Linked DNA regions of Nothobranchius furzeri. The protein of the gene in region 1 purifies or fractionates together with the protein of each later gene. This does not show direct contact. Links are inferred from orthologs where the notes say so. Each region holds a gene or a part of one and is shown on either strand. Other genes may lie near its edges.

Region 1 (9,985 bases):
GAGAAAAACACGCTTTGCAAAAACTCACAAAATCTAAAAAAGTACTGAAAACCTACAGGACACATAATGTAATAATAAAATACATAATGGGTTCATATATGAGTGTTTAGTGTCTCTGAGCAGCTCTAGAGTCAAATATTTATGCCACAGTTGAAGGGTGTCAGAAATAACACCAAATTAAATGTTTGACTTAGTTTATTTTATTTGAACCCAGTGGTTCATTTCTGAAATGTTGGAGAATGAATCAAGTTCTGTTTGATGCAGAAAACAATAAAACATAAAACAAATTCTACACTTCCAATAATATTTAAGATGTGTGTTTTATTCTTCCTGATAATAACACCAGCAGAAGGCTGTGGGCTGGATTAGGATTAAATTACCCAGCTGATGGATCTCTTCCACTAACCAGCTAACTACAAACCTTTCCACTAACCTGACCTGTGTGACCCTCACCATGTGACCCTCATGTCCATGCTGTCTCTGGGGGAGCAGATAGGAGACAAGATCTCCTGTAACTTAAAAGGAACCAAAGCTTCCTCCCAGTTTCTCTTTAAGATGAATTTAACATCAGTTTATCTTCATGAAACAAAAGAATAAAGTGGAACAAGAACTTCTATCTTCTATTTCTCTCTCCTTTTAACTTTTCCGTGTCCCTACATAAAAGAGACAGACGATCACGCTGCAGCCGCCATCACTGACCCCGCCCCCTCCCCAAGACCGGATCTCCCAGCATCACAACACTCGGTCTGACTGAGCGCTTCCAGGAGAAATAATAATTAAATTATGAAAATAATAACGTGTTTGGAGCATCGGTTTGGAGGAGCGTCCTCCGATCCTCTCGTGTGAGCAGTGTCTCTCTCAGTCGCTGATCGAGCGAGCGGAGCACGCCGCATGACATCCTGCTCATTTAACATAATTCACGGCCCAAATCCAACAGAACCGGTCGGGCTGATTCGGTTCCGGTTCGGTCTCAGATTACAACTCCAGCGCTCAGCCCTGCAGTACCAAATTAAGGCGGAACCAGTTGGTAAATGTGGAGGACGCTCACTCTGACAGATTTGGATGCTGCGCTGGACAAACTACATTCCATTATAATCGATTATGGCGTACTCTTCTACGATGCAGAATCGTTTATGTCCCGCATCCCGATGCATCGAACAATTCATGCTACCAGATTATAAACACGAAAATCTGTGTTCATTTACAAACTAGCAATGCGTTCTTTGGTTCTGTCAGACTTTAATCAGAATCAGAATCAGAAGAATTTTATTGCCAGCGCTCCTTTCAGAGCGTAGGAACTTGACTCCACAGTACAACCTGACCAAGGTTACACACACACACACACATATAGACAAGACAGATACAGGCAGACCATGGGAGCAGCCATAACGGCGCTCCTTTGTAGATGAGTAAGGGAATACAGGAGGGAAGTTCAGGGAGGGAGAAAAAAGGCATTAACAGGGTTACACCAGCAGGGTGTAGCGCTCCAATGCAAAAAAAACACCCGACATGTAAGCAACAAACGTCACAGTTCACAACATGAGACCCGGTAGGTAGGGGGGTGGGGCTGGGATCCTGGTTTCATCAGCGGGGGCGGCCTGTGTGGCGCTCAACCAGCTGGCTCCGCAGGTGGGAGGGAGGTCAGGGGAAGCACAGAGAGCAGTGAGTCCTTCAGCTTCATGACCTCGGTAGAGAGCACAATCTGAAGGGGGGGGGGGGGGGGGGGGGGGGGGGATAGAGATTCACAGCATTTGTCTGCATTCCTTCCAGCATGGGGGTTTTGCATGCAACTCCAAGGCTGCTTATGGCGTCAGATTCGATAACAGAACTTTGTTTTGGGTCAGACAGAGATAATTTTTCCTCTCTGCCTTAAGTCTGTATTGATCATTCAAGTCCTCCAGTGAAGCCAATTCAGTGATTAAACATCTCCACACCGTCCGGTGACCCTTTCCGAGATGTTATCAATCCTGCACGCTAACACCGGTAACGCAGCCAAGACATTGTCCAGCTTGCGATTCACCTCGAGCAACGTCCCAGTCTGTGAGGTATCCACCCGGACGGTGCCGTCCATGGATGCGGGTCGCCCTCCAATCGCTCCCATCATCCCAATTTTACGGAAAGCCAGATATCCTCCCACTCCAATCAGAAGAAATCCAACGATCATCAGGCCAAATATCCACATATCTTCGACGTCCTCAATGGACAGCTGAGAGAGACAGATGATATTCCACTTTTTCCAGGAATCGAACATGTATCCCGCTGCATGTGTCCCCTGAGGACAAGCGTGAGCCCCCTCCTCCGTCCTCATTGTAGAAAAAATCTTATCAATCGCGTTGAATGACCAATTAATTAAGTCCATATTGAAAAATAAAAAGGTGATTGCAGAGGAAATGCAGAGAAGCGCTCTGTAGGCAGACGGGACAAAAAGAGCCTTGGGAAAACACAGATAAGGGAGGAAAGGCAGAAGCGTCTGCTCCCTGTGAGCGCCAGAGAAAGGGACTCTATTTAACTCTATTTTTATGAGCAGAGGCTGTTCAGGCAGCTGTAGAGTAAGACTTGAAGTATTTCTAAGTTTTACACAGAAACACGTCGGAATGACTCCATTAATCCCATTTGTTGTTGTCACCAATCTGCTCCTCTACCTCTATCTATGGGTGTTCCTCAAGGGTCGATACTGGGCCCAACCTTATTCAAAATCTGCATTAATAACATTGTTCATGCTATTCGCAGTTCTCATTAGGGTTGGGCATCGTGTGATTTTGAACGATTCCGATTCCAATTCCTCCTTTCGATTCCGGTTCCTATTGATTCCCGATTGCGATTCTTTCAAGACATTCCATGTTTTAAGTGAGCCAGCTAACCACAGGTCCTACTTGATGAAATAATCTTAACTTCAACATGGATTTTAATTCTATGAACAACAACATCACCTTCATTTAGACAAAAACATGTTTTAGAGAAAAAAATGGTAAATGGCCTGTATTTGATACAGTGCCTTTTAGAGTCCTGGAACGCCCCAAAGCGCTTTACAACCAATCAGTCATTCACCCATTCACACACACATTCACACACTGGTGGGGATGAGCTACAATGTAGCCACAGCTGCCCTGGGGCGCACTGACAGAGGCGAGGCTGCCGAGCACAGGCGCCACCGGTCCCTCCGACCACCACCAGCAGGCAACGTGGGTTAAGTGTCTTGCCCAAGGACACAACGACAGTGACAGACTGAGCGGGGCTCGAACCTGCAACCTTCCGATTACGGGGCGAGCACTTAACTCCTGTGCCACCGTCGCCCCCAAAAGACTTGCAGCACAACCAGTGTGTTTGTTTCTGACCACAACCAAAGTCTGGAAGAAGCCTCTGGGATGAGAGGCTAAATGTCTCCAGAAACGTCCAGCTGTTTTCCTACCTGCAGCAGCATTCAGTCAGAGCAGAAACTTAAATGTAGCTGCTGTCAGTAACAATCTAACAGATTTTAAACATTAAAACTCTCAACAGAAATAGTTCAAAAAGGAAATAAAAAATGTTATTTATTATTATTATAACTATTTATTGTGGCAGAAGCTGGTGTGGTCCACCACAGAGAAGCTTTTCTAGCATGATGACTTTAATTATTCTACAGGTTATTGTACGGGGGGCTCGGTGCTGCACACAGACAGCTGGTGTGATCAGCTCTGAAAAGCGTTGATCACAAATTGCAGATCACGTTTATTTTTCACGGAGAAAGGCCACGGATTCCTCTTCCGTCTGCATTCTAGGAATCAAAAAGAAAAACGATTCCGGGAAAAACTAACAGTTAGAACCGGTTCCAATCGATGCTCGATGCCAAACCCTGTTCTCATATACATTTATATGCGGATGACACCTTTGGTAGAGCAGGAAACGCAGGGATGGTAGCCCTCGAGGACGGGAGTTGGTGACGCCTACTTGAGGCAACCTGGAGTTTCATTTTAAAAGTCTGATCAGAAGATGTTTCTGAAACTTCCTGATTGAATCTTCTTCTCCTCCAGAGATTTACCGCATTGTGTCCCAGAAGCAGATGTCTGAGCGCCAGGAGAGCGACATGTCGCCTAGCAACAACGTGGTCAACATCCAGGTGCAGCCCACTGAAAACAAACCAAAGATGCAGTGCTGTCAGAACATCTAGCGCCGCCGTGGACCTGCTGCTACCCCCGCCCCATCCCCAGAGAACAGACTGCTTCGGTATGGAAACATCAAACCGCAGAGTCAAACCTGCAACCTGAACTCTACCTGCCCCACCTTAGTTAACCACCCACCCCCATTGTAAGACTAAGTGCCCCCCCCCCAGCAAAGCCCCATGTCTTTAGGCTACTGCAGGACAGCAGGCGTTTCCTCCCTCGTTAGATCTCCTTCCTGTAGAAGCGCTGACTCGTCTCAGAAACGTCTGAATGTGATTAGCTCCCCTCCTTCATTCCTCCACTTTTTTAATGACTCGTCTCGTATCTTCTTACTATATATAAATATATAAATCTGAAGCACATCGAATTCGCTCTGAAGCATAGTCCTCTGTCCACTCGTCTCCTGTCATTATAGCCCCGCCCCCTCCTATAGTGCAATGTACTGTCTGGAAACCACGTGGATGTATCGAGCGCACGAGCGCCGTTCGATCTGATGTCTGTGATTCTGTTCGCTTTGGGCGTGACTCGGTTTTATCATCACCTCTGCATCAGGTGTCTACGGAGGCCTGAAATGGACAAAAATCAATAAAAAATACATTTAAAAGGCTCAAAACAGTATTAATGTTTATCGATGCTTCTGTATGAATTTAAACTTCATTCTGTTATCAGTGTATTTAGAGCTCTTATTTGTTTCCGTATTTTGTTTTTAATTTACCTTTTAAGTAAATTATTGCACTTTTGAAAATCTGATGTTTTCTTTCATTTTCTCCTATCTTTTATATTTTCATGAGCTTAAATATGACGAGGCCTGTTGGCCGTTCTGGTGTCAGAACTACAGCTGATTTGGAGCTTTTGTGTTATTTTAGCTCAAGGCAGCTAGCCTTGTAGCTTAGAGGCTAAACAGGAAGTGTTTCTGTCCTTTTCTGGCTCCGTTTCAGGATCTCTGTTCGTCAGGAGATCTGAGCCAGCTCTGAGGAACAGACTCCGTCACAAAAGGAAATGGGAATAAAATTAAAGCAGAAATCAGAACAAATAAACACAAAATATAAAGATAAATAAGATAAATAATTAAACACATCTGATGAAAATAAAACAATTTTTAAAATCGGACAGTTTTTGGGCCGTTTTTGAATATGTATATTTTTGTCCTTTTCGGCTGTCCATACACCGCTTCTCATGCAGTGACCATCGCTCTGCTGCACTGCATGCTGGGAAACGACATGGATCTGGGTCAAGGGCAGGACTCCTGAACGTTCCGGTTCCGATGCCTGTGCTGAGATGTGATGAAACCCAAACAAAAGCGATTTAATTTTCACAGATCTAAAGCAGACCTGATTGGGTTTCTGATCCCACCCTAAACAGAACAGGTGAATCCCTTCATGACATTCCTCTGACCCACAGAACCGCTGGCTTGCAAAGATAAAGACTGACCCACGCGGAGGTCCGATTCCTGCACTAAACATCTGTAACTTTGTTCTGGTCAAAGATTAGATTTTTTAGCAGAACCAGAACCACTGTTTTAGAACCAGACTAGAGGAATCGGTCGAGCTGATTCGCAGTACCTCCTGCTGCTTGGCCGCCATCGACCCACATGTTCTGATCCGACCCGATCCTCGTGTGCCGTCACATAAAGCCTACATACACCGAGCTGCCTCTGACTTCCACACAGCGCACGGCTCCACCTCATATCGCCTTACATAGTCATTCAGTCATCAAGTAGTCAGAACCGTGCACGGTCCAACCCGACCCGGTTCGGTCCGGTCTGTAAACCGATGCCTCGCTAATGTCTCAAACCCCTGAGTGTTTGTGTTTAGTTACAGAGGGTAGCTCTGGAGTTTGTGAGCCTGGCTGGTTGTTTGGACCCGCAGCACCGCCAGCCTGACCTCTCCAGAACCAGCAGCTGGTTGACAGAGAATGAGTTCTGATCCAGATCAGTTGATTCCATTGTTGTTTTTTAAAGAAGTGTTTTGATTTTTATCTGGTTGATTCTGTAACTGACTGTAATGAAATGATGTCATTTCACCTAGTTGGAGGTTAATGTGAGAACGGGTCCAAATGGGTCCAAACCAACGCTTTTATGTTTGTACAGATCGATGAATTGTACAATGTGTCAATAACTTAAGTTATCAGTTTATCTTAATAAAGCTCACCAGTCATAAACCAGCAGACTTTCACTTCCTGTTAAACACCAAGTTCCAAGTTTAGAGGTGCCACCACGTCCCAAAGGTTCTGGACTGGTCTGAGATCTGAAGGTCGTTGGGAGACCTGTGAACTCATGGTCATGTTCTAGAAACCAGTTGGGGAAGATGTGAACTTTGTGACATGGTGCATGATCCTGCTGGAAGTAGAAGATGGGTCCATGTGGTCAAAGGGATGGACATGGTCACCAACAAGACTCAGGTAGGCTGTGGCGTTGAAACCAAGCTCAGGTGGTACTGATGGGTCCAAAGTGGGATTAGAACACCCCCAACAACTAATACACCACCAGCAGCCTGAAGGGTTGATACAAGGCAGGATGGATCCATGCTTCCGTGTTGGCGACACCAAATTCTGACCTGACAGCTAAAATCCAGACGCACCAGACCAGGAAAGTTTTCTCCGGTCTCTCCTGGTCCAGTTCTGGTGATCCTGTGGGAATTGTAGCTTCAGTTTCCTGTTCTTACCTGACAGGAGAGACACCTGGTGCAGTCCTCTGCTGCTGTGGTTCTGCAGACCTGAGTAGGAACCATAGCTGCTGTTGACTAGAACAAGGTTGGGGTGGTGGGGGCAGAGGTGTTGAGTGCCCACCCTGTAACTGGAGGGTTGTAAGTTTGCATCCCACTCACTTAAGTTGTTGTGTCCTTGAGCAAGACACTTAGATTTTGTGAAGCGCCGTGGGGTTTAGAAGGTGCTAACATTTCAGTATAATTTCTGGTTCCTTTCTGCGGTGTCTGTGCAACTAACAAACCATAAAACCACTCATCTGAGTTCTGACAGGTTTATTCAGTTCAGACTCGTTACACCTACCGAAGCTTTTCTCGGGTTCACGGATGAAAGCGTGAGCAGAAACAAACCATTTTACATCCGGTCAGCTTTGGAGCTCCTCAGGGCTCGGTGCTCGTTCGGCTTTTTTTATGAAATTGTTTTTATTCTGAAACAAAATCATCGTGTTTGACTCTGAGGAAACGCCATCTTTAGCTGCTTGTACAGTTAGTTATACGTCAAAAGGTGAATGACTATATTTAGCATTTTAAAGTCAGTTTTTCAGCTTCATTTCAAACAACTTAATCTCTTAATTGTAACATTAAAAATACTGACCAACAATTATCCTGTAGTACAAACAGTATATACACTCACTGGCCACTTTATTGGGTACGCCTTGGTAGTACCGGGTTGGACCCACTTTTGCTTTCCGAACTGCCTTAATCCTTCGTGACAAAGATTCAACAAGGTACTGGAATCATTCCTCAGAGATTTTGGTCCCTATTGACATGATGCCATTTCACAGTTGTTGCAAATTTGTCGTCTGCAAATCTCCCGTTCCACCACGTCTCAAAGGCTCTCTATTGGATTGAGATCTGATGACTGTGGAGTCCATCTGAGAACAGTAAACTCATTGTCATGTTCAAGAAACCAGTCTGAGATGATTTGAGCTTTAGGACATGGCTCATTATCCTGCTGGAAGAAGCCATCAGAAGATGGGTACACTGTGGTCATAAAAGGATGGATCAGCAAAAATATTCAGGTAGGCTGTGTCAAAGATTATCAGTTAGTACTAAGGGGCCCAAAGGGTGCCAAGAAAATGTCCCCCACACCATTACACCACCACCAGCAGCCTGAACTGTTGATACAAGGAAGGATGGATCCATACTTTCATGTTGTTGACGCCAATTTCTGACCCTACCATCCAAATGTCGCTGCAGGAATTGGGACTCATCAGACCAGGCAACATTTTTACAGTCTTCTACTGTCCAATTTTGGTGAGCCTGTGGGAACTGTAACTTCAGTTTCCTGTTCTTAGCTGACAGTAGTGACACCCGTTGTGGTCTTCTGCTGCTGTAGACCATCTGCCTCAAGGTTCAACTTGTGTGTTCAGAAATGCTCTTCCGCACATACCTTGGTTGTAACGAGTGGTTATTTGAGTTACTGTTGCCTTTCTATCAGCTCGAACCAATCTGGCCATACTCCTCTGACCTCTGGCATCAACAAGGCATTTTCACCCACAGAACTGCCGCTCACTGGATGTTTTCCTTTTTTTGGACCATTCTCTGAAAACCCTAGAGATGGTTGTGTGTGACAATCCCAGAAAATCAGCAGTTTCTGAAATACTCAGACCAGCCCATCTGGCACCAACAAACATGCCACGTCCAAAGTCACTTAAATCACCTTTCTTCCCCATTCTGAAGGACCGGTCGAACGCCATCTCCAAATCCATAAAACACATGTAGTTTGATTGGGCGAACTTCCACGCACCCTCCAGGACCCCCCTAAGGGTATAGAGCTGGCCCAGTGATGATAAACAAATTGATGACATACATAAAATAATTACTCAGAAATTACCCATCCATCCATCATTTGAACCAGCTTGACCACGCAGGGTTGCGGGGGTGGGTGGGGGGGTGCTGGTGTCTATCTCCAGCGGTCAATGGGCAATCAGGCAGGGTACACCCTGGACAGAGAGCCAGTCCATCGCAGCTCAGAAATTATATAAAACAAAAATAATATCTTTGAAATTTGAATCTTAAGCTGCTATTATTATTATTATTAAGATATAAATTGAGTGGTTCTGAAACTAATAAATACGATAAAAAGAACCAACATAAGATGTGTGTATCGAGCATAAACATGACATTTCCCATGAGCCTATGGTGAACCAGTAGGGGGCGTGTCCTGAGAGCAATCGGGGTTTCAGTAAAAGTGGCCCACCCCAAAAACATTTAGATTTTACTTTATGCATTTATATTTAATTAAAATACTTCATTGTGATATTGGAGCCAATGTGGCAACACACACAGCTGTTTCTTTTATTTGTTTTATTCACAAACAAACCCTAACCTGACTCTGGTCCTCAGCTTCTCTCGCTTGATGCTTTTCTGGAGTCCGCCTGGACGACTGGGTTCCTCTCAGGAACCTCATCTGGTTCTGCAATCTACAAACAAGAAGGTCTCAATCTCATCTGTGCAGAAACGAGCTACCAGACCGTTCCTATTCAAAGACTGCCTCTTCTCCAAGAACTCACAAAGATTTTACACATGAGGTCCAGATGAAGGAGGTGCTGTTGGTTCCAGGATGGAAACCTAGAAACTGTGTATCTGTACTGGGTTTAACTATCTTCAGGAGCAGCAGCCTGGTTGTTACTCTCAGGGGTCATCACCTGTAGTAACCATTATGTGACCTTTTAAAAGGAGGAACAAAAGTAAAAATATAATATAATATAAAAACAAAGTTTAGTTTGACTAAAATAATTACTGGTTAGGTTTGTGTTTCCTGTCTCAACAGGCTGAAAATCTATTAATATTTACGTTTTTAAACTTACACTACCAACACTATCTATAGTGGGGACGGTTTGCTGCTGACCTCTACTCAGGAAGTTGTGGATTGGTGGGCAGAATACTTCGAAGACCTCCTCAATCCCACTGACACGTTTTCCAGTGAGGAAGCAGAGTCTGGGGACTTTGGGTTGGCCTCTCAAATCTCTGGTGCTGAGGTCACTGAGGTGGTTAAAAAGCTCCTCTGTGGCAAAGCTCCAGGGGTGGATGAGATCTGCCCGGAGTTCCTTAAGGCTCTGGATGTTGTGGGGCTGTGTTGGCTGACGCGGCTCCGCAACATCGCGTGGACATCGGGTGCAGTCCCACTGGACTGGCAGA
Region 2 (9,359 bases), on another chromosome or scaffold:
GCGTATGTCCTACATGGGTACTTGTTAGTCTCATGAGGTAGTAAGTAGTTACTTAATGTGTTTTTTCTCCCTCCAGGTTTCTTTTTGACTGTAAAAGCCAAGATCACGTGTACTATCGCTGGAAGTTGTTCTCAATCCTCCAGGTATGTTTAGACTACAAACCTTACAGACAAATCCTTTAGCCTGATTTCATGACTTTAACCTGCCTGGGTCCCACAGGGAGAGTCTCCCACCAAGTGGAGGACAGCCGATTTCCGTATGTTCAGAGGAGGCTCAGTATGGAGACCCCCTGTCCTAAATACTTACTCTTTGAGAGGAGATGATGGAGCAGAGGGAATGAACACGTCTCCCTTAGAGGAGGAGGAGGTGAAGAAGGGTCAGCTCAGAGCTGAGTAAGTCTGCCCCGCTGGTCTAGGACATCGTTGGGTCGTAACTTAACATTGAAGGAGTTTTGTTGTTCTGTAAACCTGAATCAGGCACAAACAGAAACTGGAGACACTTCTAGAGGAGCTGACTCCTAGCAGAGACGGTATCGCCAGTGCCATGATGTTCTGCCTGGAACGAGCAGATGCTGCAGAAGAAGTAGTGGGACTCGTCACCGACTCGTTTTCTGTGCTTCCGACACCCCTTCAGAAGAAGGCTAGTCTCTGTGTGAACACATAGTAATCACAGAAGAAAACATCTGCTTATGTGTTTCCTTACATCTCACAGATCTCTAGGTTGTATCTCGTCTCAGACCTTCTGCACAACTCTAGTGCTAAAGTAGCCGGTGCATCATATTATCGTAAATAGTAAGGAGCTTTCTTTCATTCACATTTATTACTTCTAATTTAATTTATTTTTATTTCATTTCTCCAAAATATCTCTTTTTTTTTTTTCCAGTCTTGAAACAAAGCTACCGCAGATATTTGAGTTTCTTAATGCCGCCTATAAGAACATACAAGCCCGGCTGCAGGCCGAGCAGTTTAAGGTAATGCGTCGCCTCACACAGTCACCACATTTCTCTTAAATGGGACAGAAGGGAAGAGGAACCATGTTCATGTCCTGTCTTTGCAGCAAAAGGTCATGAATTGTTTTAGAGCGTGGGAAGACTGGGCCATATATCCAGAGCCTTATCTAATCCGCCTTCAGAACATCTTTCTGGGCTTCGTCAAAGCAGGAGAAGAGGAAGCAGAGACGGTAGAGGTGAGCTTATCCTCTCGGCACAGGCACTAAGGTCTTATTGTAACTCCATATAAACATCTGGGGGTGCTGATAAAACGGACACCAAACACCTGGTAAGGAATTTGTTTGTCTCATAGGATACGTCCCGTGAGCTTGATGGTGTGCTGCTGGACAGAACCCTTGTAGATGGGTTACGACTGGGCAGATCTCCAGTGGATGACATCGACGGCTGCCCCATGGGCTGGGACCCCCTGGATGGGGTACCTGTAGATGATCTAGATGGTGTTCCTTTGGCCACTGCTATAGATGACATAGATGGAATACCCTGTGAGTCCACTGTAAACAATTTAAAGTCATTTCTAAGCTTTCTGTGAAACGGTTCACTAAAAGCTTTGGTTTGGAAGGACTGATGAGCTAAGGGCTAGTCTGCTCCCCCCTGGATTTCAGACGTGCTGTTTGAGCTTCCAGCTGCAGCTGTCCAGCCAAACGAAAGGCCATGAAGCAACATGGATGAAGAATGTCAGACAGATGAGATGCAGGGACGTTTTTATGAACCCTAAACTGAACACTGGTCTGGTGAAGGGCAGCCAGTACTGGGAAAATGTAATGATGGTTCCTAGTGTTCGTTAGAACCTGAGCAGCCGCCTTTGGGACCATCTGAAACTGTAGTTTGATGCATGCATACAAAGAGGTACCCATGGGGCGTATGACATCTAAAACCCCATCTGAAGGTTTTCTAACAAAAATATTAAGGGTTGTTCTTCATTGATGCTGATTTGGAGAGTGTAAAAACAGTTCCTCCCAATTCAAGGTAATGTTTACTCTAAATATATTTTACATACAATTCTTAAAGAATAGTAAACACACAGTCGGTATTTTTGTCCAAAACCCAGCCCACCATAGGAATGCAGAATCACAGGCAGTGTAAAGGCCTACTAAATAGTGTTTGCATAAAACCGGAGTAGCTCTGGGCTGGTCAGGCCTTTCAGACTGAAGTCGTTCAGCTATTTGCAGCAAGTAAGATGGTTTTTAGTTGTGAGATTTCTTTAGAGTGGCACTTCAAAAACCCTGTTATGTCCCCTTAGGACAGCTGTTCTGTGTACTGTTTGTTTTTTCTGCTGCACCTCACTACATCGGTGCTGAAACCAAACCGTACCAGGTGTCTGAGCAGATTCATGTGCTCTGTGATTAAGTGTCTGCTTACCTGAACCCGCTCTCTGTTGTCCTCAGTGTATGAGAGCAGTAACCGTCTTTCTGGGGTGCCTTTGTCTAAATGGGAGAAAACCAGTGACACTGGGACATTTTCTCATGGTAAGACACGTCCAGATGTCCTCTGTCACTGGACCAGCCTCTGGCATCCTCTCCGCTCATTGTTCTTTTTGTCTCAGCCAAAGCCGAGTCCAAGTGGGACACTGTGGGCGAGCAAGAGGATGAAGATAAAGTGAATGTTAGGTGAGGCCGAAGTGATTGGTTTCAGTTCTTTATTCATTACAACAGTGACGTGATCTATCGATATGTTTACGTCTCTCCTCTCCATCCTGACAACAGCAGCAACTCACACGAGGAAGACGAGGACTCGGAGAGCGACAGCAGTGCCGACTCCTCCGGTGCACCAAACTATGACAGTGCGGTTTTCCAGAGCTCCCTCAAAAGTTTCCAAGTGTCTGAGAGTAAAAGGAAAAGGCTGAGGGAGGTAGAGGTAACGAAACACCACCACCAGGGTTTTAAACACATTTCTACTGATCAGTCAAAGCTCTTAGTAAGGAGTGGAGCTGATGGACTGTTTCTGACACAGGTAAAGGTAATGAAGTTCCAGGATGAGCTGGAGTCTGGGAAAAGGCCGAGGAAGTCCGGACAGAGCATGCAGCATCAAGTGGAGCACTACAGAAACAAACTGCTACAGAAGGTGAATATTTTAGTTTATGACTTGTTTCTTCTGCCAGAATTAAAACTGTAGTCCTAAAAATGTTCTCATAGCTTGAGTCAGCTCAGCACACACAGTCCCAGAATTAATCAGAAGTGCACCATCTACAGGGAGAGAAGTGTAGCTACACGTCTGGTGAGAGTTTCAGAGTTATGTATGTTGCATTTGTTGGACATGACTGGAATCAAGAAAAAAATTTTCCTTTGAGAGTTACTAGTTCTGAAACTTATCTGGCTCTCGGTTACATTTTTCTCCTAGTGTATTAGTTTATCAGTCAAGTATGGATGTGGAATGAAGCTCACGGGAGAAATTTGCATCTTGTTCTCAATTATATTAAAGACTTGGAGTTACTGAAATGTTTCTGCTGCAGGAGTTTGAAAAGAACGAAGAAAAGAATGAGAGATCAAAGTCCAAAGACGGGCAGAAAGATGACAGGCGGAACAGAGAGAAGAGCAAAAGAAAGGATGAAGGCGACAGAAGACGGAGCAGCGATACTGGAGAACAAGCTCGAAAATCACGGAGCAGCTCTCCCATAAGGCAAGTACTAACAAAATAAGATTGTAACACAGATGTTTATCATATTCTTACAATTTATCTTCTTTCCATTTAGCAGGAAAAAGTCTCCCAAACGGTCCAAACGTTCCCGATCACCATCCCCAGTTCTAAAGTCCAAAAAGTCCAGGTCACGGTCGCCACATCGCTCCCATAAGAAGTCGAAGAAGAGTAAACACTGACTGCTGCTGTTCCAACCATCCATGCAAGATCCAGCTCCCTTTTCTATGTGAAGTTTCAACACTGTAACTACTTATATTTTTGTTTTTAAAATAATCTAATGCTGCAAATTCTGACATTAAATCATCTTTGGTGATGAATTCTGTTTACTGAATAGTTTTTTATGCCAGAACTTAGCAGGGCTGCAAAAGAAAAGCTCAGCCAGCATTTCTGAAAAGTTTTATTGAGGAAAGTACATAAGTTGTTTACAAAAGCAGGAGGTTTGCCATTTAACGGATTTACAGTCCTATCATGAAATGTGCTTTAGCTGAACACAGAAACGAGACCCAGTGACTTCTGAACAACCCTGCAGGATTCATTAGTAACTGAATCTTTTACTGCGGATGTGATGGAAGGGTTGGTGTTAAAGGAAAGGAAATCACTTCCTGTGGGGAAAACAAATGACCATAAATAAGATTTTAATCCAACTTGACAAAAAGACAAATTTAAAACAAGGTATTAGAATTTAACCGTTGCAACATATTCTTCTGAGATGTGAGACGCAAATCAGGAAGGTGCTCATTCTGATGCAAAAAACTTAGCGACCGGGCCGTTCAGCTATAAATGTACATAAACAGCTCCATTTGTTTACCAACCCTTTCACGTTTGCCTGCTTTGAAAGATAAAAACAGAAATGTGACGAGGAATCTCATTTAGTCACTTGTGAACAGTTTTCTGTCCCTTATCTATCACCATTAGGACATGCCCTCCATCGTTAGGGACTAATCTCTTAACAGGCACACCTGTGCATGAAGAGCAGAGGACCCTGAACTGCTCAGTACTTTTTAACATTGATAAAAACTTTGATGGCTCCAGTGAAATCAGCAGACAGAAGAACCTCCGTGTGATCGGTTTTTAGGGCGCCTGCAAAAACAAACAAGAACTTTACTCAGCTGAAAGAAACGCCTCTCTGTGAGCTTAACCCAGGAGAACGTACCTGATGGTATCGTTTCAGAGTCTGTGGAGTCCAGGCTTTTACGGTCCGCTTCTGGCTTCTCCGTTCCCGTTTCCTGAGGGACGATGAGCCCTGGATGAGGTGCAAACACGGCTGAGGTGACCACCGCGTTGTGTGCTGGAAAACAGAGCAGCTGCTGTAGCAAAACGGAGTTCACACCACAGGAATGTCAATTTTAATAAACAGTGCAGGTACCTTTGATCCCTTCCCAGAAGTCATTGCGGTCCCGTCGTACGGATGTGAACTTGCTTAGATCGTGGTAAGTGCTCCAGATGTACACGTATTTATCCTCAGAGCCACTCACGATAAAGGAGTAGTCATGGCTGTAAGAAGACATTTGTTTTTAATAGTGATGCACCGATATGAAACTTTTGGGGCGATGCAGATATTCGATTACTTAAGGCTGCACAATATTAGGAAAACCTGCAATATGCGATAACAGATTAACATTGTGATGGCGATATTACTTGCAATAAACAAAGAAATGAAAAAAATGACCAAAAAAATCATAAAAATGAGAAAAGCAAAAGATGAGGAAAGGGAAAATGAAAATGAACAAGAAAATGCAACCAGTGGATCCCGGGAAAAGCACAATCAGCAAAAAGAGCAGAACAAACCTAACTCAGGTGTTTGCTAACCATCAAAATTAAGTGCCGTCTGCCTCGGGGGCGGGCATCTAACCTAGGAGAACCCACCCAATTGGCCAAATGGGTGAAAAGCTCTATTTGAGTTGTTAAAAATACGTCATGCTTCTGTTTGACAGAATGCATTATGTGTAGCAAACATTTGAGCTGACCATTGCAATATTTATCTGTCCTTTGCAATATGCATATTGTGCATGCTGATATCGCAATAACAATATATTTGCGCTATATTGTGCAGCCCTGCCGATAACAGATATTTGCCAATGCGGATATACTGACATTAATGCTTCTAAAACCAGCAGATTTTGTAGAGAAAGAAAATGATTAAAGCTGATTTTACGTTATGTACACACAACACACACATTTATGCTTCTGAGATGATTACAATCACTGTCACATGACTAAAACACACATCACCCCCCTCACCCTCTGAAATCACTAAATGGAAACAAGATGGAAAAAATATCGGTTGTTAATATCGGCCCAGTTCTATTTATCAGACCGATAGCGATATGTTAAAACCATCTGCCGATACTGATGTCGATATATTGTGCATCCCTAGTTTTTAACCAGACTGCTTTTCTCCAGTCTGATGGGAAACCTTCCTCACCTGAAGCTGGCCTTGATCTGGCTGCTGCTGTTGACGTAACCCTTGTACTTCATGGACAGAGACAAGTCCCTCAGGTCGTATAGGCGGATGCGGGAATCATTGGAAGTGACCAGAATCTGTGGAGGATAGGTGGTTTCAGAGCTTCATTACAGAGACTTGAACATGCTGGTAAGTCTGGGGGGGGGCGGGGTTTACCTTATTTTCACCAGGCAGAGGCTCAATCCCAGTAATTTTGCGTCCGACTTTATTCCTCCCTCTGGTGGACCTCACGTGTATTTGAGTGTGATATTTCAGACGCTAATGGCGGATGAGAGGAAATCATATTTCAAACTCGTGATTCCTATAAAGAGCAAACTGATGTGTTCGGTTGAGCAGCACGATACCTCGGTGTCATAGAAGATGCATCGGCCGTCGTACGTGCCGATGACCGCATACTTTCCATTTTGGCAGAAGTTGGCTGCAGTGATGAGCCGAGTCTGGCCATCCACCTCATTCCACAACGCCACCTTCTTGTCTGGAATGTTCCAAAGTCGTAGTTTTCCATCCAGAGAGCCGCTTAAAAAGTATCTGTCATCCTGGGGAGGAAGGAGGACCAAACGCTTCCATAAAACCAGCAGATGTACAGATGTTTGCACCGAGACGATGCTGAGCCGACCCGACTCCACTTACTCTGGGGTGAAAAGCAATGGCTGTGACAAAATCTATGTGCTGAAAGCAGCAGAGACATTCTCTCCTGGATATGTGCCATAATCGGACCGTCTTATCCATAGAAGAAGAGAGCAGGAAAAAGTTCTAGAAACACAAAACGGAAAAGCTGAAACAAAAACGGACTAAAAGCATGAAGAGAGCTCAATTGTGAAATAAGAGAGACAATCACCTTGGACCAGGACAGGTCCAGCAGGTCAGCAGTGTGACCCTTGTACTTGCAGAAGGGGACTTGACGGAAAGGAGTATGTCTGTCTTCAGTATCCGGGTCCTCTGGAATACAACTCGTCTAAAACACAAAAACGACTCAGAATCCTTCAGTTTTATTAAGTATCTGATTATTGTTTTTACACACTGACAACATGAAAAGTTGCTCATCATCAAGAGCTGTTGGAGACTCACCCCAGGATCAGTGTCAGATTTAGAGGAGCATAAACTTTCCTGGGAAGGAGAAGGGGAAACTCGACCTGGAGGAGCCAAAATATCACAAGAATGAAACCGCGAGTCGTTATTTAGCTACAGGATCTATCACCATTCAGGTCACCATCAGGGTTCCTAGAGAACAGACCATCAGTGTTGTACTTTAATCTCATATTATTGAAGTAATCAAAGGCAGTCTTTAAGACCCAGATGCGAACGATGTTGTCCTGGCCTGCCGTTGCCAGGAGCCTCCCACAGTGAGAAAACTTCATTGTCCAAACGGCCCCCTGGAGGACAGCATGGAGGTTTTAGGATGCCGACTTTGATCAGAAACAATAACCAGCAGGGCTGGGATCGTCCTACCATGTGCTCTCCACTCAGGTCCTGCACAACTCTGATCTGATCAAAGTCGAAAGGACCCTTGAAGCTATGAGCGGCCTTGAACTTTACAGGTCTGGTGTAAGGCATGCCCTCATCATCACTCGATGAAGGGTCGTCCGGATCTGTGTGGAACACTTCAGAGGAGAACAAAACTAAAAAGTCTCTGCATGAAAACATGTTAACGGCAGCTCAAATGCTTCAAAAACAAACAAAATACCTTCATCACGCACGCTCTTGACCTTATTGACCGCCTTCTCTCCATACTCCTCAGCGAGATGCTTGGCCCTTTTCACAGACTTGCCCAGGAATTTTTTCAGCTGAGTTCTGGTTGTAAACCAAAAGGAGAATTCTTTTTCACTTCCAAAGTTAAATCATGAGGGAACAGGGCGAGTCAAACCGAAGAACCCTTACGTTTTCTGCTTCAGTTTTCCACCATCTGTGTCCATTAGCGCAGTCTGAGACTTGTCGTCATCATCCGACTGAGCTGCGTCATTCCTGAGTGAGAAAAGAAAATCCCACAGGTTTCCTTATTTGATTCAGAAAATGGTTTGAATGTGTGCAACGTGCACACACCCAAAGCAACACCAGTTCACCTGTGAAAGCTGGACTTTCCTGTTAGCTACTTAACTACACGTACCCACGGAGCCATTTCAAATGATTTCCTGCTTACGTGACGTATTCCTTGGTCCTCCTCATGATGTGCAGAGTGAGAGGGTTGATGCCTGCTGGAAGTTTCTCTTCTGCCTGAATCAGAGGAATCTCTTCACCGGTGTCTAAATTCTTGATCATCACGCTGGCCAGTATTTCCTGTTCAAGGATTACACACAAGTATGGTTTTGTAGAAAATCAGATTATTTGAAAACCATAAAGAAACGTTTTCATAAGGCTGCCAATCCCTGATTTACTGCTATTGTCACACATTAACTCAGGAAAAGATTCAGCATGGCAGGCATTAAATGCTAATGAATGAGAAAAAGCACACAGACTCTTACTTCATCTGTTAGTTCTCTACCAGAGTTGGAACGTGGGCGCTGAGGACCTGCGGCATGTCCTACACTCTGCGATGAGGCCTGTTCGTCCTCATGTTCCTAAGACAAAAATACATTGAAATTAAAAGTCTGATCTTAGAGCGGCTGAGGGTGAAGTGCTCTGGTCCACGGCCCCACTGACCTGTGCCGTCACCACCTTGTCCCCGCTGGTGGCACTGGCCAGATCCAAGGAATGCTGGAGATCTTTGGTGAGACTCGTCACTGTGCTGCAGGGAGACACCAGACCGGAGGGATCCAGAGAATCACAGCCGACCGAACTCACTGCAGAAACTGGAGAATCACACAGGAAATCACAGCACAGAAAACGACCTAAATCCTCCCAACGCAGCATGAGTCACACCCTTCAGGTTAAACTGTCATTTGTCTGTTTGACAGTCTGAATAAATAAAAGATTTGTCCACATGATCACCTTTTGTTTAATAAGAACACACAGAGAAATGTGTTTGCCATTTTGCCGCATAAATGGTCAACAATAATTCACATTTTGAGCTAAAATGTTTAAACTGAGTAAAAATGACTCCAACGTCTCCTCACCGTCCAGTCCACACGGCCTCAGGCTCTCCTGGGACTTCTTGGAGGGTATGGTGTTCCTGGAGGGTGGGGGAGGTCTACGTGGGGGACCGCCAACAGGTGGGGGTGGGCGAGAGGGGGGAGGCTTTTTTGTGCTGGCTACAATATCTGGTTCTACTGTGAATTGTCGGGGGGGTTTCAAAGGCCCCGGTGAGTCTGAATCAGA

What was found.
Region 2: the proteins of rab11a (region 1) and wdr44 purify together in Homo sapiens (affinity purification with mass spectrometry; 3 studies listed by BioGRID and IntAct, counting the BioPlex papers as one, with this or other methods). This does not show direct contact. The link is inferred for Nothobranchius furzeri from reciprocal best matches to the Homo sapiens genes RAB11A and WDR44.

The regions. Positions count from the first base shown.
Region 1 is NC_091749.1:66,750,260-66,760,244, reverse strand, and holds the end of rab11a (ras-related protein Rab-11A), read left to right. Parts: intron 1-4,010; coding exon 4,011-4,147; 3' UTR 4,148-6,302; downstream 6,303-9,985. UniProt on the Homo sapiens protein: The small GTPases Rab are key regulators of intracellular membrane trafficking, from the formation of transport vesicles to their fusion with membranes.
Region 2 is NC_091750.1:46,975,865-46,985,223, forward strand, and holds the end of wdr44 (WD repeat-containing protein 44), read right to left. Parts: coding exon 9,158-9,359; intron 8,894-9,157; coding exon 8,745-8,893; intron 8,663-8,744; coding exon 8,567-8,662; intron 8,382-8,566; coding exon 8,245-8,381; intron 8,070-8,244; coding exon 7,986-8,069; intron 7,899-7,985; coding exon 7,792-7,898; intron 7,709-7,791; coding exon 7,557-7,708; intron 7,481-7,556; coding exon 7,318-7,480; intron 7,241-7,317; coding exon 7,176-7,240; intron 7,063-7,175; coding exon 6,946-7,062; intron 6,861-6,945; coding exon 6,738-6,860; intron 6,644-6,737; coding exon 6,452-6,643; intron 6,366-6,451; coding exon 6,264-6,365; intron 6,185-6,263; coding exon 6,069-6,184; intron 5,138-6,068; coding exon 5,010-5,137; intron 4,932-5,009; coding exon 4,797-4,931; intron 4,724-4,796; coding exon 4,635-4,723; 3' UTR 4,026-4,634; downstream 1-4,025. Other genes in the region: zgc:163098 (U2 snRNP-associated SURP motif-containing protein), read left to right, coding at 77-143, 220-392, 477-639, 712-791, 883-970, 1,057-1,185, 1,302-1,491, 2,395-2,475 and 5 more. UniProt on the Homo sapiens protein: Downstream effector for Rab11 which regulates Rab11 intracellular membrane trafficking functions such as endocytic recycling, intracellular ciliogenesis and protein export.